Linked DNA regions of Macaca fascicularis. The protein of the gene in region 1 purifies or fractionates together with the protein of each later gene. This does not show direct contact. Links are inferred from orthologs where the notes say so. Each region holds a gene or a part of one and is shown on either strand. Other genes may lie near its edges. The genes, in order: FBL, C1QBP, NOLC1, DDB1- and CUL4-associated factor 13, DDX24, SIRT7 and SNU13.

Region 1 (4,725 bases):
ACAAAATTCTTGTTTTTTTCTTTTTTTTTTTTGAGACGGAGTCTTGCTCTGTCGCCCAGGCTGGAGTGCAGTGGCGCAATCTCGGCTTACTGCAACCTCCGCCTCCTGGGTTCACGCCATTCTTCTGCCTCAGCCTCCTTAGTAGCTGGGACTATAGGCGCTCGCCATTACGCCCGGCTAATTTTTTGTATTCTTTAGTAGAGACGGGGTTTCACTGTGTTAGCCAGGATGGTCTCCATCTCCTGACCTCGTAATCCGCCCGCCTCGGCCTCCTAAAGTGCTGGGATTACAGGCTTGAGCTACCGCGTCCGGCCCACAAAATTCTTAATACTTAAGCAGAATCTGTTGACCCCTGACGCCGCTCTCTGCCCCCACTCTGATCTTGTCCATCCTTGTCTCCTTCTGATTCATGGCAGCAGCCAGTCCTTGGTTTTCCTGCTTCCACCCTCACGCCTGCAGTCTGCTTCCCACACGCAGCCAGAGGGACCTGTGTCAGATCACATTCCTTCTCTGCTTGGAACCCTTCCATGGTTCCATCTTACTGCCAAAGTCCTCACTATGTCCCACAAAGCTCCTCACAATCTGCCCTTGTTAGCTACCCGCCCTTATCTCCTCTCACTCTCCATCTTGCTCACTTTGCCCCAATCACCCTCCTCATTTTCTCTCCAACTTCCCGTATCTTTCCTTCCTCAGGGCCTCTGCATCTGCAGATCTCTTCCCTGCCTGGAACTCCCTTCCCCTAGATAGGTGCATGCCTCACTCCTCACTTCCTTCAGCTCTTTAGCTCAAAAGTCACCTGATGCATTCCCTGACCACCATGCCAAAAAAACAAAAATCACTTGCCCTCCAAAATCTCTATCCCCTTTCCCTGCCATGATTTTCTCCAAAGCACTTACTGCCTTCTAACATTCAACATGTTTGGTGTCCATTTCCTCCATTAAAAAGATTAACTCCAGGAGAGTGGAGATTCTTTTTTTTTTTTTTTTTTTTTTTGAGGCGGAGTCTGGCTCTCTTGCCCAGGCTGGAGCGCAGTGGCCGGATCTCAGCTCAGTGCAAGCTCCGCCTCCTGGGTTCACGCCATTCTCCTGCCTCAGCCTCCCGAGTATCTGGGACTACAGGCGCCCGTCACCTCACCTGGCTAGTTTTTTGTATTTTTTAGTAGAGACGGGGTTTCACTGTGTTAGCCAGGATGGTCTCGATCTCCTGACCTCGTGATCCGCCCGTCTCGGCCTCCCAAAGTGCTGGGATTACAGGCTTGAGCCACCGCGCCCGGCCGAGAGTGGAGATTCTTATGTCTCGTACACCGCTGTATTCCCAGCTCCTAGAACAGCGCCTGGTATACATGAGAGGCACGGTAAATGTTTTTCGGATGTATGAATGGAAGCACAGAGTCGGTCACTGTTCTTGGCGCTGGAAATGTGTCAGGGAAGCCGTTTTGGGTGTACAGGGACCTCAGGGAGTTAGAAATACAAAAGAGGGGGCAGAGGGCACAGCCCGTGCGAAGGCCTCGCTATGAGCCCTGATTATTGGGGTGCTCGCACTGCGGAAGAGGAAACCGGAAGCGAGTTTAGGGAGACCGCTGCACAAGCAAAGGCTGGGAAGGCAGAGAGTGAGGGTAACCGGCTTAGTTTCGATAGGCTCGAGAATCCTCGCCCACTGTGCGTGCGCCGAGCTCCAAGCGGGGCAGGGGGCCGGGGCGGGGCTACGTGGTTGCGTCACGCGCTGCACGTCGCCGCGCGCCTGCGCTCTTTTCCACGTGCGAAAGCGCCGGACTCGTGGAGTTGTGAACGCCGCGGGCTCCGGAGCCGCACAAACCCGGGCTCACCATGAAGCCAGGTCAGGCTGGGGTGGGGTCCAGGATCAGGGACGGAGGCCGGGCGGGAATCCGGGTGCCAGGCCAGAATCGGAGGGGTGGGGCCTTGGCCTGGGGGCAGGGGTTCTGAGCACGGATCCGGTCTCATGTGGGAAGGGGAATCCTGATTCCAGGAGGTCTAGGGGTTAGTGACTGGCTTCGGAGGTCACGGTCGTGAGTCGAAGAAGGCCTTGGGCCTGGCACTGGGGGTCTTGACCTGGGGTTCGTCTCATTGAGGCCGTCTAATAGGGATTTTGGATATTGGGCAGGAGGCGGCACTCAGGAGTCTTGGACTAGAGTCTGGATCCCGGCATCTGGAGTCTTGGATAGCTGGGCGTGTTTTGGGAATCAGCCTTGGGTCGGAGATGGAGAGTTCCTGACCTTGGGTCCTGGAGATGTGTGTGGGAAGCCCCTATTTGCCTTCCCTGTCGCTGCCACCACCACCATCCCCTTATCCCCCAACCCAGCTTTTCCGAGTGGGCCGGAGCGGAGGACTCCTCGGTTGGCCGTGTGCGGCACTCTGGCTCACTTTCCCGCCTTCTGCACTTACAGGGGGGCGGATCCCCAGGGATGGAGTGGAGATTTGGGGACTAAGATTTCCACCTCCGGGGCGAGACTTAACAAGCTCGGCATTAGATTGGGGTAGGGGGGTGGGTGGTTGTCACAGGACGTAAGTGGTTTTATTCTTTCGATTTTCCATTAGATTCTGCTGAACCCACTGCCTTCATGGTGGAATGATGAGGGTCCTGGCTTTGACAGCAGAAGGGCCTCAGTTTAGTATTTCAGTTCTGGCTCAGCTTCTTAGCCTGCTGTGTGACCTTGGGCAAGTGGCTTTACCTCTCTGAGCCTCTGTTTTCTCATCAATAAAAAGGCGCCAGTTAGGATTAAGCGACGTTTAAAAAAAAATAGCACAGTGCTTGACATAATAGTATTGGCTCTAGCTGTTGCCTTTATCTTTCTCAAAGAGAACAAAATTAGAATCCTTCTCCGTGGTGTCTGAGCACTTCCTCCATCTGGCCTGCCCAACCCCCACTCGTCTGTGTGAGAACTTGCTTCATTGAGTTTGGAGAATTTTCCACCATGGCCCAAAGGGTCTGTTTTCCTGGAACAGGCTTTATTTTTCTTTTTTGTGTGTGTTTGTGTGGAGAGATTGGGGTCACCTGGCAGGAGATTTGTGGATCCGTGCCCTTCTCCCAAGCTCCCTTTCTCTTCCGTGTTTGGGGGATCTCCTGATGAAGTGGGCTGAGGGATTGTAGGCCAGGTATCTCTCCTATTGAGATCCTGACTTGCCTGCAGGCATCCTGGTCTATGATTACCTCAGAAATGGAGGATACCCCTTCTTCCAACCTTCTTCCGTTGTGTGGTAGAATGTGAAGTTGTAAAAGTTGTCAGGTGTTAGCTCTTTAGTAAGGATTTTAGTCTGAGTGAGAGAACCCTTTGGGAGCTTTTGAGCAGGGGCGTGGTGCAGTCTGACATTTTTAAAAGGGATTCTTCTTGCTTCCATGTGTGAAAGACCTCAGGGTGGCAAATGTGGAAGCAGGCAAATCGGTGGGAAGCTTGTTGCTGTAATCTAGGAGGTGGTGTGGTGGACCAGGATGGAAGCAGTGGACATGCTGACGGTTTTACATGCTTTTGAAGACAGAACCAACAGATTGTATGTGGGTGTGTGAGCAGAGTCAAGGATAACCAAGGGTTTGGGGGTGTGTAGCTGGAAGGATGGAATTGCCATTTTTGAGATGGAGAAGGCTGTGGAAGGAAAGCAGATTTTAAATCAGGGAGTTTGTGGAACCCCCCTTCCCCCCAAAAAAGAACTTACTGGAAAAGTTTGTGTGAACATGTGTTTTTTCTGAGGAGTGGGTACTTTTGGTACATTTTCCCCCAAAAAGCTCCAGGACCTGAAATGAGATGTTTTGAGTATCTGGGATTGAAAGTTGGCCGGGCGCGGTGGCTCAAGCCTGTAATCCCAGCACTTTGGGAGGCCGAGACGGGCGGATCACGAGGTCAGGAGATCGAGACCATCCTGGCTGACACGGTGAAACCCTGTCTCTACTAAAAAATACAAAAAACTAGCCGGGCGAGGTGGCGGGCGCCTGTAGTCCCAGCTACTCGGGAGGCTGAGGCAGGAGAATGGCGTGAACCCAGGAGGCGGAGCTTGCAGTGAGCTGAGATCTGGCCACTGCACTCCAGCCTGGGCAACAGAGCGAGACTCCGTCTCAAAAAAAAAAAAAAAAGAAAGTTTACACTCCTGCCCACTCCGCCCCGTGCACATGCCAGTACTTCCTTTTTATTAGGCCTGGGTTGAGACTTTCATAAACCTAGCTGTGGCATCTCCCCTAAATGAAGGTCCTGGCTTTGGAAAACTGTTGGAGGGTTTGGGCAAGAAAATAATGAGATCTGAGTGCTGTTAGGCACATGGATGCAGCTGGAAACCATCATTCTCAGCAAACTATTGCAAGAACAAAAAACCAAACACCGCATGTTCTCACTCATAGGTGGGAATTGAACAATGAGAACACTTGGACACAGGAAGGGGAACATCACATACCGGGTGCTGTTGTGGGGTGGGGGTAGCAGGGAGGGATAGCATTAGGAGATATACCTGATGTAAATGACGAGTTAATGGATGCAGCACACCAACATGGCACATGTATACATATGTAACAAACCTGCACGTTGTGCACATGTACCCTAGAACTTAAAGTATAATAAAACAAAACAAAACAGAAACAGCACTTATTAGTTGCTGTGTGGAAAGTGGACTGAAGGGGGATAGAAGATAAAAAGTGAACAACTCTTGGTTATGTTCTGGAGTTTTGAAAAGGAAACTGTTCATTTTAAAAGATCAAATTAGGAGTAGCTATTAAAAATTACAT
Region 2 (4,744 bases), on another chromosome or scaffold:
AGACACAATTGACCTGTGTAGGGAAAAACCACACTACACAATAGCCAAGAGAATTGGTACCCTACTTCACATCATACTCAAAATGAATCACAGACCTCAACTAAGAGCTAAAACTAGAAAACTCTGAAAAAATTAAGGCATAAATCTTCACAACCTTGGGCGAGGCAGTGGTTTCTTAGATGTGACACTAAAAAAAGCACAAGCAACCAAAAAAATAGGTAAACTGAACTTCCTCAAAATCAGAAACTTTTGTGTCAGAGGGCATTACAAAGAAAGTGAAAAGAAAACCCACAAGATGGGGAACAATACTTGCAAATCATTAATTTGGTAAGATCACTATACCCAGAAAAACTAAAGAATTCTTTTTTTTTTTGAGACAGAGTCTCACTCTGTCGCCCAGGCTGGAGTGCAGTGACGTGATCTCGGCTCACTGCAACCTCTGCCTCTGGGCTTCATGCCATTCTCCTGCCTCAGCCTCCTGAGTAGCTGGGACTACAGGCGCCCGCCACTACACCTGGCTAATTTTTTGTACTTTTAGTAGAGACAGGGTTTCACTGCATTACCCAGGATGGTCTTGATCTCCTGACCTTGTGATCCACCTGCCTCGGCCTCCCAAAGTGCTGGGATTAAAGGTGTGAGCCACCGTGCCCGGTCAAAACTAAAGAACTCTTACAACCCAACAATTAAAAATGTAAACAGGCTGGGCAGGGTGGCTCACACCTGTAATCACAGCACTCTGGGAGACCGAGGAGGGCGGATCACGATGTCAGGAGTTTGAGACCAGCCTGGCCAACATGGCGAAACCCCATCTCTACTAAAAATACAAAAATTAACTGGACGCATGCCTGTAATCTCAGCTACTCAGGAGGCTGAAGCAGGAGAATTGTCCGAATCCGGGAGGCAGAGGCTGCAGTGAGCCAAGATCGTGCCACTGCACTCCATCCTGGGTAATAGCAAGACTCCGTGGGGTGGGGAGGAAGCTACAAATTGTATGATTCCATTTATATGAAATGTCCAAAAGAGGCAATCCATAAAGTAGCTTAGTGATTACCTGGGGTGGCTAGAGGGAGGAATAATGAGTGACTGCTAATAGGTATTGTTTGGGGATTGACAACAATGTTCTAGAATTAGGTAGTGGTAACCGATGCATAATTCTGTGAGGACTAAGAACCACTTAATTTAATAAACTTCAATAAATGGGTAAATTTTATGCCATATAAATTAAATCACATTAAAGCTGTGATTTTAAAAAAGAATTACATATACATCATAAGGTCAATTATAAAGAAAATTCAATTTATTTATTTATTTATTATTTTTTTGAGATGGAGTCTTGCTCTGTCCCTCAGGCTGGAGTACAGTGGCGCCATCTCGGCTCACTGAAACCCGGGGGTTCAAGCGATTCTCCTGCCTCAGCCTCCTGAGTAGCTGGGACTACAGGTGCTTGCCACCACACCCTGTTAAAATTTTTAGTAGAGACAGGGTTTCAGTGTTAGCCAGGATGTTCTCGATCTCCTGACCTCATGATCTGCCGTCTCTGCCTCCCAAAGTGCTGGGATTATAGGCGTGAGCCACTGCACCCAGCCTCAATTTAAAAATCTGGAAGATGACAAATGTCTATCTGTGTAATGAGATTATGGATGACTATAATGCAGAAAAGTGTAAACACTAACAGTTTAGGAGAAGGTGGGGCACCTGACTTAGGTCACAAACTCCCCGCCTCTGATGGCAGCCCTTACTACAGTGGAACCCCATCCTGTTACATATAAGTTACATGCCTTGCATTTTCACCCAAGCTAAACATTAGAGAGAGCAGGGTGCTACTGTATCAGCGCTGTAAATCAGAGATCAAACAGATTCTGTCAGTACTTTTTTGCGCTACATTTTTGTCTCCTTAGTAACCAGCCCACAGCAAATTTGTGTTCAGTGAATGGACTGCCTGGACCTTATGAAGCTGTCCAATTGAATCCTTCACTCTCTTGAAAACCATTTATCCACACCTGAACTCAAGGCTCTTCTAGGGATGACCCAGGACGGGTCTTGCAAGGTTAAGGGAGTCGGTGCCCTGGGATCCCCAGACCAGTACTTACTTTTCCCCGGCAACTTTCCGCACTAATTTCGCTTCTGTCCCATTCAGTTCCAGCTCCCAACCTCCAGACATCTTAGGGAGGGTTTTATGCTTCTGGATTTTTCTTTCCTCCTCAATTTCATCCTTCAGGAAATCAACAAAAGCTTTGTCTCCTAGAAAAGAAATCCATATACATAAAAAGGAAAGCCAGTTAGTCTAAAACATAAAACTATTACCCTGGTTATCGCAGCCAGAAACCTGGACTATTTCTAATCTCTCTGCTATTACAGTTACTCTAGAAGCCTCAGTTTCCTTATCTGTAAAAATACCATAATATTAGTGGGAAGCTGAGCCTGATGCTGGAAAAGTGATTTCCAACAATGAACGCATTACCACTTTCCGCTATAAAGCAGAAGAATTTCCGATCATCCTCTTCCACTTGCCAAACGATAGTTGTATCGTATGCTATTTTCAAACACGACCTTGGGCTTTCCCAAAAGTCCACTTTCGAGAGAATAAGACTAAGGATGAAGGTACCCTCTAGTATTTAATTTTATTCACCCCCCTACCAACAGAAAATGAAACTGGTGGATAGGGGAGGTGGGGGGAATATGATCACACGTGGGTTTAACCCGCTGGTTGCCAATCAATGGAAAAATGTCCCAGACCTCGGAGGTCGGTTGCAGGCCCCACTCCTGGTCTTTTCCCCTCCGTGAACCGCAAACCACACCCCTGGCCCGCGTGCGCGAACCTCACCTTCAGTGTGCAGCAAGCCGCAGCCACAGCCACAGGCGCAGGGTCCTCGAGGCCGCAGGAGGCCCGGCCGCCGCTCGGAACCTGCGCGCACGCTGAGCAGCCCGAAGGGCCGGGCGCACAGCCGGGGCGCCGGCTGCAGGAGCTGCCGGAAAGGCGAGGCGGGCGCGGCAGCGCGGAGGCTGGGGACGGCGGAGCCCAGCACACGAGGCACGCAGCGCAGCAGAGGTAGCATCGCGCAATCCACTGCGAACACGTGCAGATGCAAAGGACAATCCAGGCCCAAGTACCCCGCGACCTAAAGCGCCGCCGGAAGCCCCGCCCTTGCCCGGAAGCGCTTCCCGCGCCGGCGCACTGAGGACCTAAGGCCCCAGGCGGAATCGCGCCTTCTGCTGGAGGCCTCCGGTGCAGCCCGGGAAGCCTCGAATCCGGTTTCCGGAGCCTTCTTGCTGCGCTGGCCTGAGTCCTCTGTCCGAAGCTGTTTAATTCTTTCTAGTGGCCGCTTCCACCTACTGTTTTCAAGGCACGCCAGGCTTTTGGGCTGTGTGGAATGCACTCTTGTCTTCCCCCAGCTCTCACCAGCCCCTTACACGGTCACTTTCCTCTAGGAGGCTGTGGTGTTATATTATGTATTTATTGGTTTTCATCCCCAGTTCCTGGGTCGTAACTCCCATAGCCCTCGTTACAGTGTTCTGTGATAATGTTGGGTGTGTTAGGCCTCAGGAAACAGACTCTCACTCTCCCCTTCTCCCGCCCTCCTTTCACCCGCCCCAATGCAGGACTCTAATCTCCCACATTTCTGATTATGGGTCTTAAGTCCCTTCCCAGAGAAGGTCCCACCCTATGCCCTGGGGGAAGGGATGCTGATGTCCAGAAGCTTCCATAAAAACCCATGAGGACAGGGTTTGCAGAGCCTCTGATAGCTGAATACGTGGAGGTTCCTGGAGGGTGGTGGCCCAGGGACGGCGAGGAAGATCGGAGCTTCTTCCCCACTGCCCACCCTGCTCATCTCCTCATCTGTATCCTTGGTAATATCCTTTATATGAAACCGGTAAAAGTGTTTCCCTGAGTTCTGTGAGCTGCTCCAGTGAGTTAATACAACCCAAAGAGGGGGGTCGTGGGAACCCCCACTTGAAGCGGGCTGGTCGGAAGTTTCAGAGGCCCAGACTTGCCATTGCTGTCTGAAGGTCGGGGCGGTCTTGGGGACTGAGCCCTCAACCTATGGGATCTGACACTGTCTCATGGGATCTGACACTGTCTCCAGGTAGATAATGTTGGGATTGAATTGGAGGACACCCCGCTGGTGTCTGCTGCTTAGTGTGGAGGGAAAAAACCCAAACCTTTGGTCACAGAACTCTTCTGTGCTGATTGTTGTAAGAGCAAAGGAAGAGGTCAGGGTTTTCCTGAAAGAGGCCTTCCTAGAACCTCCTTTTTTCCATCGGCTTAGAACTCATGCTTGTGCGCACCCAGCCCTTAGGCTTCATTCTCTTCAACAGAAACCTCCTGGCATTGCTGGTTTTAACCGGGTTAAACCCAACCAGACTGTGACATCCTGAAGGGCAGGATCCATGAGTAATTTCTGTGACCTTCCCTCTCTGCACCTCCGACCCTGCATCCAAGTTCTAATGGAACATCATTTTTCTGGGGACAAGAAGCCGGCTTGTATCATTTAGATAGGTCCAGAAGCTTCCATAAAAACCCAAGGACAGGGTTTGGAGAGCCTCTGATAGCTGAATACGCGGAGGTTCCTGGAGGGTGGTGGCCCAGGGAGGACGTGGCAGCTCGGAGCTTCTTCCCTATTCCCCACCCTGCTCATCTCCATCTGTATCCTTGGTCATATCTTTTATACGAAACTGGTAAAAGTGTTTCCCTGAGTTCTGTGAGCTGCTCCACTAAATTCATAGAACCCAGAAATGGGGTTCA
Region 3 (3,944 bases), on another chromosome or scaffold:
AAAGCCAGACTCAGGCCAAGTGCAGTGGCTCACAACTGTAACCCCAGCCTTTTGGGAGGCCAGGGTAGGAGGATTGCTTGAGCCCAGGAAATTGAGATCAGCCAGGGCAATATAGTGAGATTCTGTCTCTATAGAAAGTTAAAAAATGAGCCAGACATGGTGGTGCATGCTTGTAGTCCCAGCTACTCAGGAGGCTAAGGTGGAAAGATCACCTGAGCCCATGAAGTTAAAGCTGCACAAGCCGTGATCATGCCATTGCACCCCAGCCTGGGTGACAGAGTAAGATTCTATTAAAAAAAAAAAAAGACCAGTTTCCTGTTCTTCCTCCCAGTTTCCACAACTGGAAGCCCAGTGGTGGGCCTCCTCTCACTACCCTACTCTCAAAGAGTATATCCCATCCTGATTTGGGGGGACAAAACCCAGAGGGCATGTTTACTGGGTACAGACCTGATTTGGAAACTGCCACTGCTGCCTTTTTCTTTTCTTCTTCCTCTTCCTTGCTGTTCTTAGCTTCTTTTCCATTCTGGGCAGTCAGTGCAGAGGTGCCATTGGCCTTGGGAGCTTGTGGTCTGGGAAAGCCCTTGCCCTTGGGCTTCTCTTCCTCCTCCTCACTGGAGTCATCAGAGGAAGAACTGCTGCTGCTCTCAGTCTTTCCTTTCTTTGCAGAGGCTGGCTTGGAAGGGGCTGCACCTCCTGCTACCTTCTGTGGCTTCTTCTTAACTGCAGACTTAGCTGTCTTCTCTTCCTCCTCCTCCTCCTCACTGCTGGAGCTGTCTGAATCAGAGCTGCTGTCCCTACTACCCTGAGGAGCCTGCTTGGCAGGCAGAGGCGGAGCTGCTTTGGCAGTCGCCTTGGGCTTAGTGGTGGCCACCGTCTTTTTTTTCTTCTCCTCCTCACTGGAGCTGCTCTCTTCCTCACTGGAGCTGCTGTCAGCATTTCTCATCGGAGGCTTCTGGCCACCGCCCACAGATTGCTTGGGGGTTGCAGCTGGCTTTGCTGCAGGTGACTTGATGGTGACAGTTGGCTTATTTGAAGAATTCTTGGTGGTACCAGCTGGCTTGGAAGGAGCTTCAACATCCTCAGAGCTGTCAGAGTCTAGACACAGAGGGATGGGATCAACAGCTCCCCAATTCAGATTCAGGGGAGCCCTTAGCAGCTGCCTGAGAGCATTTCACTGAACTGAGGGCCTCCATATGCCTTACCTGAGCTGTCTGAAGAACTCTCTGCTGCTTTCTTTGCTGGAGGTGGTTTAGTGGTTGCTTTAGAGACGACTGCCTTAGTTGGGGGTTTCTTCTCTTCTTCAGAACTTGAATCTGAGGAGAACCTGTAGCATTATGCTGGGTCCAGAGTCCCAACCCAACCAGGACAGCAATAAAAAGAATGCAAAGACACACACAGAGCCATAGCTCTGTCTTGCTTTAAGCAAAAAACAATGGAGGGATGGAAGGCTTTCTCTCTCCCTTATTCTTCATCCCCTTCTCCAGACCCACACTGAGGGGAGGCTGCATCCCTCTGACTCACCAGACTCATCACTGCTGTCTTCACTGCTTTCCACAGGCTGCTGCTTCTCCACAGCCTTCTTGGGAGGCTGGGTTCCCAGAGACTTCTTTGGTAGGGGAGCAGAAGGTGGGGGGACTGAACTGTAGGGACCTGTTTAAAAAGGATAGTATGATGGTTTTAAGATATGTCTACAAATTTTTTGATACTACTTTCTTCTAGAAATGAAGCTTAATTCCCCTTGAGTATAGGCCAGAATCATGACTCAGTTCTTTTTTTTTTTTTGAGACGGAGTCCCGCTCTGTCACCCAGGCTGGAGTGCAGTGGCCGGATCTCAGCTCACTGCAAGCTCCGCCTCCCGGGTTTACGCCATTCTCCTGCCTCAGCCTCCCGAGTAGCTGGGACTACAGGCGCCCGCCACCTCGCCCGGCTAGTTTTTTGTATTTTTTAGTAGAGATGGGGTTTCACCTTGTTAGCCAGGATGGTCTCGATCTCCTGACCTTGTGATCCGCCCGTCTCGGCCTCCCAAAGTGCTGGGATTACAGGCGTGAGCCACCGCGCCCGGCCAATGACTCAGTTCTAACAGAACACGGTGTCACTTCTGAGTCTAAGTTATACAAGGCACTGGAGATTCCTCCTTGCTTTCCCAGATCACTAGTACTGGGAGAAGCTAGCTGTCATGTCATGAGGACGCTCAAGCAGCTCTATGGAGAGGTCCATGTGATTACTGCAGCTGGGCCCTGACCACAGTCATACAGCTTGACTCTCCATGTCCAGTCACCTGGTTTATTTTTCAGGGGTTTTTTTTGCTCCTCTTCCTCCTCACTGGAGGAATCCTCACTGCTGGAACTCTTCTGGGTAGGGGTGGCAACTGCTTTCACTGGGGCCTTGGCCACAACTTGCTTTTTAGGTGCAGTCTGCATTGGAAAGAAAACTGATTACCACAGGAAAATGCTGATCCAACCAATCCTGCCAGGGAATGGAGACACACACACACCCCACCCTGGTCACCTCTTCCCTGACCGAAGTTATGGCCCAGACCTTCTTGGGGGTGGCTGCTGCCTTTTCCTCCTCTGAGTCATCACTGCTACTGCTGCTGCTGCTGCTGCTGCTACTGGCTGCTTTACCATTGGCTACTTTAGGTGCTGCTCGAGCTGGAATACCCAAGAAAAAGAAAGAGTAAGGAGTAATAGGGCAAGTCAGGACCATGAAAAACCTCCTTCCTATGAGCAGAGAACTTAGAAGTCCACCAATTCCCCCCCTTTTTTTTTTCTTTTGAGACGGAGTCTGGCTCTGACTCTGTCGCACAGAGCAGTGTGCAGTGGTTCAAGCAACTCTCCTGCCTCAGCCTCCGGAGTAGCTGGGATTACAGGTGCCCACCACCATGCCCAGCTAGTTTTTTTATTTTTGGTAGAAACAAGGTTTTGCCATGTTGGCCAGGCTGGTCTTGAACTCCTGACCTCAAGCAATCCGCCTGCCTCAGCCTCCCAAAGTGCTGGGATTATAGGCGTGAGCCACTGTGCCTGGCCAGGAGTCCACCAATTCTTTCAACTTTAGAGCAGCCATCAAGGAGAATGCCATGGTTTACCACATCAAAGGATGCCTTTCCTATCCCATGGCAGGAATAAAACTAAGAAAAGATGACATAAATAATCTCAATATGCCCTCTAAAATCTTTCACTTCAACCTCCATTCAGAGAAATAACCTAACCCTCAAGTTACAGAAAAAAAGAAAAATTCTCATTTGTCTCATAGAATGACGTACAAGAATAAAAAAGGCAGTGAAAAGCACAACAAATAGATATTTAAGTGGTTACAGTGGAATGGGATGTGTAAGAACATAAAATGTCTATGAAATGTCACAAAAAAATACCAAATGGATATCATTTTAAAAAATATACATTTTTCCTTGCTGCAATAACTGTTTCTCTATTTACTAGCTCCTATGAAATCTTGTTATTAGTAAAACCTTTAAAATTAAAAGACCAGTAATCAATACCTCCAGTTCAACAACCAGTACCATTTCACCCCTGTGCCAAATCAGCAGTTTTAACACAAGTCCCCAGAGCAATCTGGTTCCCAGCCCAGCCTCTTGGGAACAGAAACAGTACCTGGTTTGGGAGGGGCCTTAGCCTGAGCTTTAGCTGCCACAGGTGTTATCTTTGGCTTCTGGTTCTTTGGTGGCTCATCCTCGGAGCTTGAGTCAGAATCAGAATCAGAGCTCTTGGCCTTCTTAGGAGGAGCTTTGGCTGCCTTGGCTTGGGGCTTAACTCCCTTCTGTTAGAAAAGACACAAGGAGAGAAATCAACAAAAGCTTCTAGGTACCCAAAGGGCATCCTATGTTCCTTTTATTTTTAGGGGCTTAATGCAGCAGTAAGAGCAAGAGAAAGCTAAGGACAGGATATGGAAAGGGCAAAAAACTCTTAAGAAACAACAAAGTTCAGCCA
Region 4 (3,671 bases), on another chromosome or scaffold:
ATAATTTTTAAAAATAAAGCAGAAGTTATGGAGTTGAAAAATGGAATTGACATACTGAAGAATGCATCAGAATCTCTTAGCAGAACTGATCAAGCAAAGAAAGAATTAATGAGCTTGAAGACAGACTATTTGAAAGTACACAAAGGAGACTCAAAGAAAAAGAATAAAGAGATTGAAGCAAGCCCACGAGATCTAGAAAATTTGACAGGTAAGTCGAAGATACAAGGACTGAAAAGAAGGAATAATAAAATACCTGTTTGTGGCCCAAAAAGGAGAGGAACCAGGAGAACCATCCCTAAGTAGATATCCACGAAGACCATTCTTGTGATGCTTTTTTTTTTCTTTTTTTTTTTTCCTATTTCAGCAGCTTGCTCCCTGAGCTTTTTTGACATGGTTCCGCACTATTCCCGATTGATTAACATAAACACAACATTCCCCTTCAAGGACCAAACAAATACCCCTTTGGGCTGCTATAAGCAGATTTATGCCATAGCCATTTTGGAGAACAATTTGTGCTAGTAAGTTGGCCTGATTTTGGAGGACTTCCTGGGTGTCCGAGATATGTTTGAAGTTGGTGGGGAGTTCCATTGAGAGGGTATATAAGTATGGGCTGTGAGGCTCATACCTATTATTCCCATACTTAATCCAACGGCAATCCCTAGGGCAATCAAATGTACTGCTCGGCTTTCTCTGCTAGAACTGTAAAGTGGGATTGGGAGGAATTGACTGGAAGGAACAATTTGGATGTCTAGGGCTAAGTAAACTAGTGTACAAGTTCTAGTTCAGTTGGCTGGAAGACTTTTTTTTTTTTTCTAGTACCAGCACTTTTATTTGTAGAGTTCTCAAATCAAAAGTAACAAATAATTATACATCAGGATTGTTAGGAATACCAATTATTTTACAACTGCCACTATATGTTTCTTCTTCTCTGACACAATTGGCACAGATCCAGGCTTGCTGTGTTTAATACGATTCACTTCCTTTCGTCGACGAGCTTCTTTCATGATGCGCTGTTCCTGAATCTGGCTGTAGATAGATTTTGGTAGATGTCGATGACGAGCTATACGTTTTATATGAGGATAATGCTGAAATTTTTCCTTCAATTTCTGGTTATAATCTTTGGCTGCTTTTTCTCGTGATGTAAGCACACCCAATTTTTCAGAAGCATTAGCTTTCCACAGGCGAATGTTCATTTCATCAGATCCACACATAATATACTTGCTGTCGGAAGTCCATTTTACACAGATAACATGCTGCATTCTCTTTGTGTGATATACCTCCCTGCTTCGACTTTTGTCTACAGGAAAGATTCGAATAGATTTATCGAAACTAGCAGACACAAACTCCTTCCCAGTGGGAGAGTAATCCACATCAAGCACTGCAGATACATGATCCATATGGACCATTACAGGAGTGTCCAGTGCACGCATATCAAAAGTATATAAGTTATAATCTTCATTTGCTGCTGTAAAAATGAAAGCTTCCATAGGGTTCCAACAGATTGTATTTGTTCTCATATCTAAGATAACCTTTTTCAAAGGAGTAGCTTGCCTCATATCGTACAGTACTATATTCCTGTCAGATGCACAACTTCCCAAGAGAAAAGTCTCAACTGGGTTAAATTTAACACTACTTATACTGTCAAATCCCCAGGTCATTGAACATATAGGATTAGTTCTTTGTTCATCCCAAATGTCTACTTGCTGTCCACATGTGGCAAAAACAGCTTCTTTCCAGTGATGATCAATCCCAGTATAGACTGTCTTTCCTAATATCGTATGTAATGGCTCTTCCTCCTCTCCATAGCCTGGCCCATCCATTTTCCACTGCTTCACAGTTTTGTCATCACCAACAGTGAAAAAAGAAGTCCCACAAAAGCGAGTACATATTCCTCGTACAAAGCCTTCATGTGCTTGTATTGTACGGATACAATTTCGCTGAGTCAGGTTCCAAATTCTAACCTCTCCATCGCATGCCCCAGAAAGGATAGTAGCCAGGTTCTTTGGATGCTTTGCCAAGCAATTGACTCCATCACGATGACCATCCAGAGACTCAAGGAATGGTTTTGCAAATACTCGTTCCAGTTTGGTAGCATTTAAAGCTCTTACATATTCTCGTGGGACCTCAAAAGGATGTAAAGTAGGATCATAGTTTCTCGGAACTCTCTGTAAGTCCAACTTGGTTTCGCGGACATAATTGTCCGGATTCCGGCTCAGCATCTTCACCTTCATCTTGCTTGCTCCTACGGCCGGACTCCACGAGCTCTCCGGTACGAGTTCCGCCCACCGCCGCCTACCAAGACTTTTCAGTAAAAACTTCCCTCACTCGGATTTTCTGCAAAGATAACCAATTAGAACAATTTCTAAAAACCAGATGCCTAAACAATATTTTATCCTTGATGACCTTGTTTGTAACTGTAATTTCTAAATTACCAATCACCAAAGCAAGGAGAAATGAACTTCAAGGTTATAATTTACAGAGATCCCAAAAACATCATTTGTTTCTCAGAGGAAGAATGCTTCCTTGGATTTAAGGCAAGATATTAAACTTAGAGTGAAGAAACGAAGTGTGTTTTGCCCTTCTGACCTGAAGAAGAAGTATGAAGCAGCTAGAGTAGCAGTTCTAAGAGGCTGTAAGGCTTGGATATTATAGTTTGCATTTGGGTGGATTTTGTTTTCCCAGAATAACTGAAAACATTGAGAGTCTAGAAAAATCTGAGATTTGGGGTTGCTGAACATGAGAATCTGTAGGCAATTGTTAGGGGAATTCATAACCTTGCAATTTTGCCAAGGAGTTACATCAGGATAAGTGTCTGGAGAGGGCCTCACTGTACAGAAGTGACAGTTTATATTTTGGAGACTTGGGGCATTGAGGTTGGCTAGGCCTGATATTCTAACTGGTACCAAATTATATTTTCCCCCGACACATATTTTCTATTGGTACAATTTATACTTACAGTGTAGTTGCAAAGGGGTTTAGGAACATAACCAACAGGGTTGAAGTAATGTTTGTTTTCTGTTGCTTAAAAAAAAAATAGAAGCTTAATGTTTGAGTTGGACTTGTTTAAAAAGGGGGTCTACAACAGGGGATTTTTTCTTGGGTCAGGAAACCTGTCCTTTGAGAGGGTTTATGTTTTTAGCTTGGTTGCGTATTGACTTAAATAGGCAGAGAATGAAGCTACCATGCCTTGTGTATGCTTTTTAGGTTCCTGTGGGAGTGGGGAAACAGGAATTTGGGATACAAGGTGGTGTTAAAAGGGATGAAATTCTGAGTATAAATAGGGAATGTGGAATCATACCTTGCAGAGACTCATAGTAAGCAAAACCAACAATCCTTTGCACACAGAATGTTCTTTCCTTAATAGCTTATGAGTCCCTTCAAGTACAGTGTAATCCATAAGACTTGGCAGAGTAAGGTTCATTGTAAGTGTTAATGCTAGTTGGAGAGATATCCAAGTAACCAGGATGAAGCCCGACATGTTAAAGGTGGCAACATATAGGGAATTCAGGGAGACAGGAAAGGAGAAGGACTATAAAGAGTATAAGAAAAATATTTAAACAAACACCTAGTACCTTGGTATATTGTTGTTGTGGTGTGGAGGCATATGAGATTACTAGGACAAATACAAAGAAATTTTATCTGGGTGGTAATCTTGGAAACCCCCTGCAAAT
Region 5 (3,624 bases), on another chromosome or scaffold:
ACACATTTATACCAGGCTGACCAAGCCTTGAGTTCCTCTTCTCCCAAGGAGCTCAGCTAAGGGAACACAGCACGGCAAGTGCTATGAAGAGGGTAAGCATGGGATACTAAGGGAGCCCCAGGAGAAGCACTGCCCCCACTTAGAGGCTCAGGACTAGAGGATCCATAGCAGTGCTCTGGGATGGAGAAGACCAAAAGGCAATCCAGACCGATGGAAAAGCCTATTCTGCACAAAGGCTCAGGACAAGAGAAGGGGTGCATGGAACTGTGGGCAGGAGCCTGCTCTGTCACAGAGGAGGGGAGTGGAGACAAGGCTGGGGCTAGATCCTGAGGGCTTCACATGTCAGACCTGTGACTGTTACTGTTGACTCTGTGATGTGAGGGAAGCCTGAAGACAGCAACCTCATTCCTGCCCACCTCCCACAGTGGCTCAGACAATAGCCAAGAGTGTGGGAGAGAACTAAGGAGCTATTAGGGTGCTGCTCTGGGTAAAGCAGGAACATGTGCCTCTTGAACATTCCAGCCTCTTGCTCCATCCACACTGTCCGATCTTGGCCTGCAGCCAGAGGCCTGACACTATTCCTGTCTTTTCAAGGGCTTAGCACTGTGCTGGCCCAGGAGAATCATCAAATTAATAATGAAACAAACGACACCATGCCCCCAACCATCTTCTAGCTAAAAAAAAAAAAAAAAAAAAAAAAAAAAAAAAAAAAAAATTCAGGATGACACAATGGCTCCGACCATTGTTTTTAATTTATGAAATCAAGTTGAACACACAAGAAGCCTATAAACACTGCAATACAGAAAAATTAAGCTGCTGCATAGAATTCTTACTCCAAAACAATGCAAATCTGCATGAGGTCTCTCCCGCTATGGGTGTGAGAGGAAGAGAGGGAGACATTTTTACCTGGGGTTGATGGTGGAGTGAAACACAAGGGTGGGAGAGGTTTTGCAAATAGCCAGAGAACAGAGAGCAATGTGCAGTCACTAACACACTTGACCAGGGCAGTTAATTTGCACTTGTACTTGGCTGTGGCTGTTCCGGCTGCGGCTCCTTTGGCTTCTTTGTCTTCTTCTGCTGCTTGGAGAGACAGCTTAAAGCAGACTCGCGCTTACTTGGGGCAGACACAAGCAGGGGCGGCTTGCCAGACTGAGTGGGATACTTGGTTTTCTGGCTCTCCGTAAACAGCGGCTGGGAGAGCAGGTGGCGCAGCTCCTTCTTCAGAACCTTCATCTGCTTTTGTCTCCGACGCTCTTCTTGCTGGTCAGCTTTTCCTCCTTGAAACACAATACAAAAAAGATCCTATTTACTATGGTTTGTAGAAACATTTTGTTTCCCTTGATGGATAACACAATGAAAAATGTTTTAGAACTACTTTAGGGAGGCAGGGTTCAAAAGTTCTCTGAAGAAGCCAGTGGTGGCTTGGCAGGGGCTGTAAATGGATAACATCTAACCATCTGCGGGGGATACGCAGGACCGCTCTGTCCTTTTACTTCATAAAAATCCTCCAAGGCTGGAATTATGTTTATAGATGAGGCAATGCAGGCTTAGAGAAGTCACCTGGCTCACATCACAGAGCCAGCCATCAGACAGAGCCCAGAACCCAAGTCTCCTGACTGAAGATCACTTTTCTTCCTATGACCCACCCACTTACTGCCCACCTAGGGTTTGGTGACTTCACAACTACAACCACCCACTGCCCCCCGCCCCCCGCCCCCCAGGAGACACTGAATGCTTCCTTGTAGCCCAGCTGTCCTGTGCCTTGCCACCAGTGCTGTGACTGCACATGGAGAGGCTGGAAGAGCCAAAGGGTTCCACCTCAGCCTGTCTTTAGGAAGGGAAGCCGGGCCCAAGCCCCAACCCTGAGCCACCAGGAGGACCAGCTCACTGTCATCAAGCCCACTGGTTTGGCTCCTGGCTTCCATGCTGAGCAGACAGCAGTTAGTCTGTCTCTGAATTTGCTGACTTGGGCACCGAGGTGTCAACATCTCTGCTGAGCCGCATCCCTGGTGGTGTGGAAGGAGCATGCAGTTCTAGATTTGGTTCTACCACTTCTTAAGACTCAGGAGCTTTCTCGAGCAGGGACCGAGCAGACTCATCCCTGAAGCCTCAGCCTCTGGTCACATACAGAGTAGCAGCTCAGGAAATGCCTTGTGACAGAGCTGTTGCCCTGCAAAAAGTGCCTCTGCTGTGAGTATCTAGTTCCCATATGTAAAAGGAGAGTAATTCCTGCTGTGTTCATGTCATGAGAGTGGAGAAGATCAAATGAGATAATGGCATGGAAGTGCTTTGTCAGCTTGGAAGGCAGGTGTAGTAGGAACCATAATGACAAGTAACTTAAAATGTAATACTTTCTATTTGCCAGGCAATACCACAAGCACTTAACATTTTTTAACTCAATCAGTCTTCACAACAATCCCATGAAGTAGGTAGTTGACTACTTCCATTTTATGGCGGAGAAAACTGAGACACAACAGAGGTTAAATAACTTGACTCAGTAACATAGTTGAGGCAATGAGCCGGCATTCTAACACAGGCAGCCTGGCCAGAAAGCCTGCTCCCTTCCTCACTGTACTCCACTGCCTGTCCATGTAAGAGGAGGCAGCTAAGGGCACAAGACAGAGACAGAGGAAACAAAGACTGACAGAGGCCAGTAGGCTCATCTGGGACTAGGGCCTGTTAGCAAAGAGGGGGAAGGACGTCTTGCTGATTCTGACAAGATCCACAGTAGTAGAGATGGTTCCAACAAGGCAAAAGTTAAAGAGAGATTTCAACTTCCTTAATTCCCAATCCCGCCCAAGGGCTTACCCTTATACATGTCTTCTTCCAGCTCAATCTCCAGGGCAGCTGCTGCCTGCTCAATCCAAGAGTTGTGCAGGCAAGCCTGGAAGTTCCGATACTCAGATTTCTCAATCTGTCGAGCTAAACGGATTCGCTCCTGGGGGGAAGTAACAGAAAATATTCACCTGAAACAGAGTTCAGGCCTCTGGGAAGCAAAGCCTCACTTGAGTTGTGTTTGTGTGTTTAAGGCAGGTATCACTCTGCTGCCCAGGCTGGAGAGCAGTGGCACGATCATGGCTCACTGCAGCCTCAACCTCCTTGGATCAAGCGATCTCCCACCTCAGCCTCCCAAGCAGCTGGGAGGCACCACCATGCCTAGCTATTTTCTTTTATTTTTTTTATTTTTATTTTTTGTAAAGACAGGGTCTCACTGTGTTGTCTAGGCTGGTCTTGAACTCCTGGGCTCAAGTGATCTTTCCACCTCAGCCTCCCAAAGTGCTGGGATTACAGGCGTGAGCCACCATGCCCAGCAAGTAGTGTTTTTAAAAAGCTCTTGAGCCAGGCACGGTGGCTCACACCTGTAATCCCAGCACTTTGGGAGGCCAAGGCGGGCAGATCACCTGAGGTCAGGAGTTTGAGACCAGCCTGACCAACATGGAGAAACCCTATCTCTACTAAAAATACAAAAAAAATACAAAATTAGCTTGGCATGGTGGCACATGCCTGTAATCCCAGCTACTCGGGAGGCTGAGGCAGGAGAATCGCTTGAACTTGGGAGGCGAAGGTTGTGGTGAGCCGAGATTGTGCCATTGCACTCCAGCCTGGGCAACATGAGTGAAGCTC
Region 6 (4,462 bases), on another chromosome or scaffold:
GGTGGTCTCTTCTCACCTCAGTTTTTCTGACACAGCGAATCGAGGGCTTTGGCCAAGGCCAGGTCTCTCAAACTTGTCCGCCAAGTAAACCGTGATATATGTCTTCCCTTCCACCTTGACTTTGCCCCAACTCCTCCTTTATCCTAACATGGACACTCAGATTTCAGAGGACTACCCAGCAGGGACAAGTCACCTCTCACCTGGAGAGTGAGGCCCCTGGCTGCTGCTCTGGGTGGCGCTGGTGTTGCTGGGGCTTCAGCTCTTGGTGCACGTTTCAGATAAGCATGCACACTTCTGACCGGTGGTCAGGGCCCGGCCCACGGCTCTGAGCGGCTGCAGCCTGCTTTGGGACGATGGTCAGGTCCCATGTTGTCCCTGCTGCCTCCCTCTGGAGTGGCCACTTGGCCAAAGCTCCCATCCACATCTGGAAAGTCTGAGCTGCGGCCTGCTGCACCGTTTCCGCTCTGGGATCTTGTGAGTTACTTTTTTAGGCTGTGGTTTGGTGAAAGGAACCAACACATTAACGATTTTTCCCCCCAGAAGCCACTGAATAATTCTTTTTGGTGTATTTTTGCCTTCCTGTTGGCTGTCTGGCCTTGGAGCAGGTCGGGAGAGTGAAGTACATAATCAGTGCCACACAGAGGCAGGGCATGTCTGAGACTGATGCCTGTCCTGCCTCTGGCCTGTGTCCTGGGTGTGTGCCGTACCTGCTGGGCCAGTCCCACACATTTCCACCCTGCCCCTGGAGCAGCAGCTTTGATACCATGGGTGTCCCTTGAGTCTGAGCTAGAGTGTGTCCCTGATAAACTGTGAGACCTCCCTGTTCTTGGTGACCCCAGTTGGGCTTTGACCCCTCCAGCAACCTTGTGTCCCATCCCTGCCCTTCCTCCCACCCCCTCAATCTGCTAGTCCCTGAAGCCTTTAACCAAACGGGAGTGGGCACAGAAAGCCTTCTCCTGGCAACAGGACAAGGGCTGCCCGCGTGTCCAGCCCTGTTGCTCTCCTGGCACTGAGAGGTGGATCCAAGCAGAGTTGATCAGTCCCCCTGCCAGCCCTGCCTAGGTCTAGCCAGGGGAGGTTGTGTGTGTGTGGGAGAAGACCCCGGGATGTGCTGGGGTGGGATGGAGGTTATTAAAGATCTAAGTGAGGAGGGGCTGGGGTTTGGATGCGGGGTGAGGCCCGAGCGCTCACACTTCGTGTAGGGCTGGCAGGGGCCTGACCTCGGGCAGGGCAGTGGCCTTGGTGCCCCACCCCTGCCCTGCGCAGTATTTATTGCTAAATTATTGTCCAGGAGGGGCAGCACTGGGCCTGGCCCCCCGGGTATTTATTGCTGTACATAGTGTATGTTTGTGATATATAAGGTTTTCTTTATTTTGTATATGATCAATAAACCTTTTAAAGAGACTGGCAGGTGCTTCTTTGGGGCGACGCGGCGGGCGGAGCCGGAAGAGGTGGGTGGGGGCGGGACCCGTCTTGCGCATGCGCCCTGAGCGCGGCCTGCCGTGTGAGGCGGAAGCGGAAGAGCGGGTCTCCAGGGGAGCGATGGCAGCCGGGGGTCTGAGCCGCTCGGAACGCAAAGCTGCGGAGCGGGTCCGAAGGTTGCGGGAGGAGCAGCAGAGGGAGCGCCTCCGCCAGGTACGCCGCCGTCGCTCCCCGGTCCGGCTATGCCCGGCCCGCGCCGCCGCTCACCGCCCGCCTGCCCGCAGGTGTCGCGCATCCTGAGAAAGGCGGCGGCGGAGCGCAGCGCCGAGGAGGGCCGGCTGCTGGCCGAGAGCGCGGACCTGGTAACGGAGCTGCAGGGCCGGAGCCGGCGGCGCGAGGGCCTGAAGCGGCGGCAGGAGGAGGCGAGTTCCGCGGGCGGCGGCCGCGGGCGCCCCCGGTTTCGGGAGCAGCCGGGGCGACGGGCGGTCCCGGGTGGGGCGGCCCGGGGCGGTGACCACCCTGGCGTCTTGGCAGGTGTGCGACGACCCGGAGGAGCTGCGAGGGAAGGTCCGGGAGCTGGCCAGCGCCGTCCGGAACGCCAAATACTTGGTCGTCTACACAGGCGCGGGAATCAGCACGGTAGGGAGGGAGGCGGGGGCGGACCCCAGGACGGAGTACGCGCTCCTGTAATCGCGAAAAACTCGCCTTTAAAGCAGCTTTAAGGTTTTTTCCCTTTCTTAGAGAAACACGAAATGACCAAAACTTACCTAAGGTAAACGCTTTTTAAACGCTTAGTTTGTGGTACAGCCAGTTAAAAACAGGCAAGGAGCAGAGATACGAATGGGCTGTAGTAGCTGACTGCTCGCAGTCACCCCCAGGTTATGTGGACAGAGCTAAGCCCAAAGCTGTCGTGATTCTCCACTGTGTTCTCTCCATGTTGAGGGAAGATAAGTAGAAAGTGACACAGTAAGAGCCGGAATACACCAGGTGAAGAAGAGAATTGCATTGTGTTTTGAGAAGTTTCACTGACAAGTTATCCTGGGCTGTGGGACATCACTAGCTTTGAAAGTGTAGCTGGCACGTCGTCCATCTAGTCCGATGGGTGAGTGTGGAGTGCTGGGCATGCGTAGGCGTAGCAGATCTGAAGGCCAGGTGATTTCTGTTCTCAGGAAGCCTTTAGGTGACAATCAGGTATGTGAACAAATAAGCATAATGTAAAGCTGGCTGTGCTGAATCACTAGAACAAACCCAGGCACACACTATGTGCTCTTGGAGTTGGGAAACCTACCTGGGTTGGCTTTTTGTGGGAGGTAGCCTTGATTGGGCCTTGAAGGATGGGTGAGATTTACAGGAGAAGGTGGGAATGAGGCACTCCAAGCAAAGAAGAGCAGAGGCTTAGCAGGAAGAATGCATAAAGGGAGTGCACTGCTGACTCAAATACCTGGAGCCCTGGCGTTTGGTCTCCTCCCTCCACAAGTCACATGTAAAAGTCCAGTCACGCTGGGCGCGGTGGCTCTTGCCTGTAATCCCAGCACTTTGGGAGGCTGAGGTGGGCAGATCATGAGGTCAGTAGTTCAAGAACAGCCTGGCCAACATGGTGAAACCCTGTCTCTACTGAAAATACAAAAATTAGCCGGGTGTGGTGGCAGGCACCTGCAATCCCAGCTACTCAGGAGGCTGAGGCAGGAGAATCACTTGAAACTGGAAGGCGGAGGTTGCAGTGAGCCTAGATCGTGCCACTGTACTCCAGCCTGGGCGACAGAGCGAAACTCTGTCTCAGAAAAAAAAAAAAGTCCAGTCATGTAATTATGTAACAGTCATGTGATCTCTTATGGAGCTTGCAATGGCAACTAGAAGCACATGCAGCTTGTGGATTTCATCTGAGTGTAACTGAGGTTTCTATCTTGAATGTGACTGTCCAAACCACTGCCGGGGGATGGTGCATTTTTCTGAGTTTAAGCAGGAGTCAGGAGTCCCCAAAAGGGAACAGAAGGCACCTTGATATCTTCTGTGCCCTCTCTGGCCTCAGTTTGTTTCACAGGATTGAAATCCTGGAAAGTTAGATGCTTATCTCATCTGGAGAAGTTGTTCTGCCTTTTTTTGTTTGTTTGCTTGTTTGTTTGTTTTGAGACGGAGTCTGGCTCTGTCGCCCAGGCTGGAATGCAGTGGCGCGATCTCGGCTCACTGCAAGCTCTGCCTCCCGGGTTCACGCCATTCTCCTGCCTCAGCCTCCCAAGTAGCTGGGAATACAGGTGCCCGCCACCACGCCTGGCTAATTTTTTGTGTTTTTAGTACAGACGGGGTTTCACCATGTTAGCCAGGATGGTCTCGATCTCCTGACCTTGTGATCCACCCACCTGGGCCTCCCACAGTGCTGGGATTACAGGCATAAGCCACCGCGCCCCGCCTATTCTGCCTTTGTTAAGGTGGAGCGGGAACAGTCAGCACTGGGACGTGAGAATAGACAGTTGCCTGCCCCCACCTAGGGATTCACCTTTTTTTTTTTTTTGAGACGGAGTCTCGTGCTGTTGCCCAGGCTGGAGTGCAGTGGCTGGATCTCAGCTCACTGCAAACTCCGCCTTCCGGGTTTGCGCCATTCTCCTGCCTCAGCCTCCCGAGTAGCTGGGACTACAGGCGCCCGCCACCTCTCCCGGCTATTTTTTTTGTATTTTTTAGTAGAGACGGGGTTTCACTGTGTTAGCCAGGATGGTCTCGATCTCCTGACCTCGTGATCTGCCCGTCTCCGCCTCCCAAAGTGCTGGGATTACAGGCTTGAGCCACCGCGCCCAGCAGGGATTCACCTTTTGCTAAATGTGTGAGCCGTGGGCTCGGCCCTGGGGGCACTTAGGAACATGACTAGTCTTCCCCTGCGGTGTGGAGGACACATGTGCCACAGAGCCCAGCTTTGTGCTCGGTGCCAGAGAGGCTTCCGGGGACAGGCAGGGCTGCGTGCAGCCTGGAAGGATGAGCCAGGCCAGGCGGGAAACAGAAGTCCAGGTAGAAGGGAGGAGCCGAATTGGGGTGCACTTCATATGGGCTC
Region 7 (4,704 bases), on another chromosome or scaffold:
AAAAAAAAAAAAAAAAAAAGAATTACCTTTTTGTTGTTGAGACAGGGTCTCACTCTGTCACTGAGGCCAGAGTGCAGTGGCATGACAATAGCTCACTGCAGCCTCGACCTTCAGAGCTCAAGTGATCCTCCTGCCTCAGCCACCTCAGTAACTGGGACTACAAGTGTGGGCCACCACTCCTGGCTAATTTTATTTTATTTTATTTTTTATTTTTTGAGATGGAGTTTCGCTCTTGTTGCCCAGGCTGGAGTGCAATGGCACAATCTCAGCTCACCACAAGTTCCGCCTCCCGGGTTCAAGAGATTCTCCTGCCTCAGCGTCCCGAGTAGCTGGGATTACAGGCATGCGCCACCATGCCAGGCTAAATTTTGTATTATTAGTATAGAGACAGGGTTTTGCCGTGTTGGCCAGGCTGGTCTACAACTCCTGACCTTGTGATTCGCCCGCCTCGGCCTCCCAAAGTGCTGAGATTACAGGCGTGAGCCACCGCACCCGGCCAACACCTGGCTAATTAAAAAAAAAATTGTTTAGGCTGAGTACGGTGGCTCACGCCTGTAATCCCAGCTCTTTGGGAGGCCGAGGCAGGCAGATCACTTGAGGTCAGGAGTTTGAGACCAGCCTGACCAACACAGCAAAACCCTGTCTCTATTAAAAAACAAAAACAAAAAATAGCTGGGCGTGGTGGTGCGTGCCTGTAATCCCAGCTACTTGGGAGGCTGAGACAGGAGAATCGCTTGAACCCGGGAGACAGAGGTTTCAGTGAGTCGAGATCCACCTGCCTCGGCCTCCCAAAGTGCTGGGATTAAAGGTGTGAGCCACCACATCCGGCCATACAAATATGTTTTATTTGATACTACAGTAGGGATTTTATTTTTTTTTTTTGAGACAGAGTCTTGCTTTGTCACCCAGGCTGTAGTGCAGTGGCACGATGTCGGCTCACTGCAACCACTGCCTCCCCGGAATAGTGATTCTTCTGCCTCAGCCTCCTAAGTAGCTGGGATTACAGGTACGCACCGCCATGCCCGCCTAATTTTTGTATTTTTAGTAGAGATGGGGTTTCACCATGTTGGTCAGGCTGGTCTTGAACTCTTGACCTCATGATCCGCCCACCTCGGCCTCCCAAAGTGCTGGGATTACAGGTGTGAGCCACCGTACCCGGCTGGAAATTTTGGTTAATAATTTATCACCTTTTATTTTATTTATTTATATTTTTTGAGACGGAGTCTCACACTGTCACCCGGGCTGGAGTGCAGTGGCGCGATCTTGGCTCACTGCAACCTCTGCCTCCCAGGTTCAAGCGATTCTCCTTGCCTCAGCCTCCCAAAGAGCTGGGATTACAGGTGCCCGCCACCACGCCTGGCTAATTTTTTTGTATTTTTAGTAGACAGGGTTTCACTATGTTGGCCAGGCAGGTCTTGAACTCCTGACCCCATAATCCACCCGCCTCGGCCTCCCAAAGTGCTGGGATTACAGGCATGAGGCACCGTGCCTGGCCCTGTCCCACATTTTAAAATAGATATACTTAAAAATATTACGTGGAACCCCCAAAGTACATACAACTATGATATGTCAATTTAAAAAAACTTTTAAAATTGCTGTTGTTTCCAACAACCCATTCTCTGGAAATCAGGATCCTCAACTCTCAATAAATATCAAATTCATAAGAGGAAAACTTCAGGAATCTGAACAGCCATCAAATACCTAAATGTTTCACTATTAGTAAACAAAAAGTTAAACTCAATTTTAAAACCAAACTACCTAGCTTATAAACACTAATTGAAACTTGCTTAGGGTGTATTTATTCGCCTTTCAATTTCTTCAGAGGTTAAATAAATTAATGAATGATAGCATACCACCAGCCAACCTAAATCCCTACCTAGCGTGATCAGTTTGGTTTCCCTGTACACCAGACAGCCAAAACTTGCAAGGTTTTGATTGGACAACAAATACTGCGTGCTCACTCTGTGCCAAGCATGAGGACTAGATGTTTAACATGCTTTATTTCATCTGATCCTCACAACATCCTGATGCACTGTCATTCCCATTTTACAGTTGAGGAAAACTGCAAAGTTCAACCTGAGACCATCCGATTCCAAAACGTTTCAGGGAACTGCATAAAAGCGAGCACTGAGTTTGAAAGCTTCGAGTTCTAGGCTCAGCCACGCACTAAGCTTCAAAATGCACGGGAGGAGGTTTTGGGGGGAGTGCTACCGCCGGGATCCAAGCTCCGCTGGAAGGATTAACTATAGACGTTACAGTGCTTTGCAAATTCTTCCCTCCTCACCAAGTGCCAACCAAAACGACTACGCCAGGACACACGTTTTAGAACTTTCCCTAGATATTTAAAAGTCAGAGACGACCAAGAATTCAGAGACGCCGCACGTGGTGCTACCAGACTTCTGGGTTTTGAAGCCACCACCTTGCGGGAGAAGCCCTTCCTGCGCTCCAGGCCGTGAGTCGCGCTCACTTCATGTTCCCCACAGCCCCCAATTGCCAAAGTCTCCTCTAGGTCCCTGGCGCGTGTGACTCGCGGCGAGCACTAGGCGCACACCCACAGGAGATCTCCTGGACCCCAGCAACGGGGGTGGGGTGAGGTAGGGTGGGTAGGAGAGGTTGATCCGAATCCCAGGGTCCCACGCCATCGTAGATTTCGTACTTAAAGAAACAAGGGGAAAAAAAAGTTGGAGCCAAATTTTCTTCACCCAACTTTTTGCCCTCTCCCACGTGGGTTGGTCTCTTTCTCCCGCTAGGCCATGCCCCCTCCGCTCGCCGCAGACCTTCTGCCACGCAAACAGATCGTGCGGCAAAGCACCACAGCAGCGGGGATCCTGAGGTTTCCTGAGTTCTAACCTCGGGCCAGGCTGTTGGGAACCCGCGGCTGCTGGAGTTCTAACTCAGGGCCCGGCGGTTAAGACCCAGCGCCGGCGGATGAGACGGCGCAGGGTCTAAGCCTTCATCTAACAGGCCAGGGAGTGAACGCAACCCCGAGTCTCCTGCTTCCCGGTCCCTTGGCCGGCGAACGCACTCACCATGGCTGCTGTTCCGCGGGCTCGGCACTCCTAGGAGAGCGCAGCCGACTTCTGAGCAGCGTTCGCCTCCACCGGAAAAACTCACTGAAGCAGCAGCGGAAATGGCCCCGCGCGGCAGGAAGCAAAGATGACGCTACGCAAGCGAGCTAGCGGGCCCCGCCCCCTACGGGGCACTGGCGCGGAAACTGGCTCTGTGTTGATGAAGGAACGTACTTTGGCGTTCTTATGAGCTGTCCAGTACAAATTATTGGCAGAAACAATGAATTAAAGATTCAAAAAATAACCCACCAGTCGGTCGCAGTGGCTTATGCCTGTAATCCTAGCACTTTGGGAGGCCGAGGCGGGCGGATCACTTGAGGACAGGAGTTCAAGACCAGCCTGGCCAACATGGCGAAACCCCGTCTCTACTAAAAATACAAAAATTAGCCAGGCGTGGTGGCGGGCGCCTGCAAACTCAGCTACTTGGGAGGCTGAAGCAGGAGAATCGCTTGAACCCCGGAGGTGGAGGCTGCAGTGAGCTGAGATCGTGCCACTGCACTCCAGCACTCCTGCTGGGGCAACAGAGCGAGACTCAAAGACCAAAAAAACAAAACAAAACAAAACAAGGCCGGGCGCGGTGGCTCACGCTTGTGATCCCAGCACTTTGGGAAGCTGAGGCGAGCGGATCACCTGAGGTTGAGAGTTCGAGACCAGCCTGACCAACACGGAGAAACCCCTGTCTCTACTAAAAATATAAAATTAGCCGAGGGTGGTGGCGCATGCCTGTAATCCCAGCTACTCGGCAGATTGAGGCGGGAGAATCGCTTGAACCTGGGAGGCGGAAGTTGCAGTGAGCAGAGATTGCGCCATTGCACTCCAGCCTGGGCAACAAGAGCAAAACTCGGTCTGAAAAAAAAAAAAAATTCAGCCACTAAACGGTTAAGTCCTGGCTCATTATGATTGGCTGACGTCCCTGCCTGCTCAGATATTTATTTTGAATAGAACCTTTGGGTAAAAGAGTCTTCAGGGTAGCATTTATTTTCCCACCAACACTGATCCTAAGATGGGAAAAGTAATTACCCCATGGGAAATCAGGATACTGCAAGCAACGAGAAAGGGATGCTGAGTGGTTAAACAATAATACCTGTATTCAATACAGTGTTTATTAAATGTTTGATAATAGATAGAAGGACAGGCAGATCCAAGTATCTCATAGGAAGAAAGAAATCAAGCAGACTGCAGGTTATATAACCCCATCACACATTCAGGGAACTTAATCTCTTCATTCCAGAGGATGGGGTTGTTTAAAACAAGTTCTTCCTCTTAATTACTTTTGAGCAATTCCCCAATACTGTCCTTACCTGCACCAAGAGCATGCTAGCCAGCCCTGGCACCAGGGTCAGAGTTGAGGATGGGGCATCAGCCCGCTTTGTGAGGTGGCCTCAGTGACAGGGGTGCTATGATGTGGCAGCTATCCTACTGCAGCTGGCTGCATCAGATGTGCCAGGTCTGCCCCCTAGCTCCCAACACCATCTGCCTGGTCTAAACTTTGCCATGTTGTTGTCACTGTTGGGTGCCTGTGCCGTGGTGGGGCCATTCCATGGCCCTGAGTGGGAGCCAGTGCAGGGCCTGCTTTCCCAGGATCACAGCTGCAGGGACCCTCAGTGCTGTGGCAACCTGCTTGTCCTCTGCCTCT

What was found.
Region 2: the proteins of FBL (region 1) and C1QBP purify together in Homo sapiens (affinity purification with mass spectrometry; 4 studies listed by BioGRID and IntAct, counting the BioPlex papers as one, with this or other methods). This does not show direct contact. The link is inferred for Macaca fascicularis from reciprocal best matches to the Homo sapiens genes FBL and C1QBP.
Region 3: the proteins of FBL (region 1) and NOLC1 fractionate together in Homo sapiens (co-fractionation; 3 studies listed by BioGRID, with this or other methods). This does not show direct contact. The link is inferred for Macaca fascicularis from reciprocal best matches to the Homo sapiens genes FBL and NOLC1.
Region 4: the proteins of FBL (region 1) and DDB1- and CUL4-associated factor 13 purify together in Homo sapiens (affinity purification with western blotting; 3 studies listed by BioGRID, with this or other methods). This does not show direct contact. The link is inferred for Macaca fascicularis from reciprocal best matches to the Homo sapiens genes FBL and DCAF13.
Region 5: the proteins of FBL (region 1) and DDX24 purify together in Homo sapiens (affinity purification with mass spectrometry; 3 studies listed by BioGRID and IntAct, with this or other methods). This does not show direct contact. The link is inferred for Macaca fascicularis from reciprocal best matches to the Homo sapiens genes FBL and DDX24.
Region 6: the proteins of FBL (region 1) and SIRT7 purify together in Homo sapiens (affinity purification with mass spectrometry; 3 studies listed by BioGRID, with this or other methods). This does not show direct contact. The link is inferred for Macaca fascicularis from reciprocal best matches to the Homo sapiens genes FBL and SIRT7.
Region 7: the proteins of FBL (region 1) and SNU13 purify together in Homo sapiens (affinity purification with mass spectrometry; 5 studies listed by BioGRID and IntAct, with this or other methods). This does not show direct contact. The link is inferred for Macaca fascicularis from reciprocal best matches to the Homo sapiens genes FBL and SNU13.

Annotation. Positions count from the first base shown.
Region 1 is NC_088393.1:46,967,053-46,971,777, reverse strand, and holds the start of FBL (rRNA 2'-O-methyltransferase fibrillarin), read left to right. Parts: upstream 1-1,744; 5' UTR 1,745-1,826; coding exon 1,827-1,836; intron 1,837-4,725.
Region 2 is NC_088390.1:5,502,130-5,506,873, forward strand, and holds the start of C1QBP (complement component 1 Q subcomponent-binding protein, mitochondrial), read right to left. Parts: upstream 3,152-4,744; 5' UTR 3,057-3,151; coding exon 2,825-3,056; intron 2,242-2,824; coding exon 2,091-2,241; intron 1-2,090.
Region 3 is NC_088383.1:111,164,166-111,168,109, reverse strand, and holds part of NOLC1 (nucleolar and coiled-body phosphoprotein 1), read right to left. Parts: intron 3,775-3,944; coding exon 3,609-3,774; intron 2,652-3,608; coding exon 2,539-2,651; intron 2,415-2,538; coding exon 2,279-2,414; intron 1,651-2,278; coding exon 1,522-1,650; intron 1,314-1,521; coding exon 1,203-1,313; intron 1,096-1,202; coding exon 448-1,095; intron 1-447. UniProt on the Homo sapiens protein: Nucleolar protein that acts as a regulator of RNA polymerase I by connecting RNA polymerase I with enzymes responsible for ribosomal processing and modification.
Region 4 is NC_088395.1:99,229,066-99,232,736, reverse strand, and holds DDB1- and CUL4-associated factor 13, read right to left. Parts: upstream 2,298-3,671; 5' UTR 2,232-2,297; coding exon 894-2,231; 3' UTR 800-893; downstream 1-799. UniProt on the Homo sapiens protein: Part of the small subunit (SSU) processome, first precursor of the small eukaryotic ribosomal subunit.
Region 5 is NC_088381.1:162,066,535-162,070,158, forward strand, and holds the end of DDX24 (ATP-dependent RNA helicase DDX24), read right to left. Parts: intron 2,939-3,624; coding exon 2,809-2,938; intron 1,278-2,808; coding exon 1,009-1,277; 3' UTR 735-1,008; downstream 1-734. UniProt on the Homo sapiens protein: ATP-dependent RNA helicase that plays a role in various aspects of RNA metabolism including pre-mRNA splicing and is thereby involved in different biological processes such as cell cycle regulation or innate immunity.
Region 6 is NC_088390.1:88,295,725-88,300,186, reverse strand, and holds the start of SIRT7 (NAD-dependent protein deacetylase sirtuin-7), read left to right. Parts: upstream 1-1,506; 5' UTR 1,507-1,542; coding exon 1,543-1,635; intron 1,636-1,706; coding exon 1,707-1,844; intron 1,845-1,956; coding exon 1,957-2,061; exon of another isoform or gene 2,062-2,905; intron 2,906-3,808; exon of another isoform or gene 3,809-4,462. UniProt on the Homo sapiens protein: NAD-dependent protein-lysine deacylase that can act both as a deacetylase or deacylase (desuccinylase, depropionylase, deglutarylase and dedecanoylase), depending on the context. Specifically mediates deacetylation of histone H3 at 'Lys-18' (H3K18Ac).
Region 7 is NC_088384.1:9,928,443-9,933,146, reverse strand, and holds the start of SNU13 (NHP2-like protein 1), read right to left. Parts: upstream 3,116-4,704; 5' UTR 3,033-3,115; coding exon 3,030-3,032; intron 1-3,029.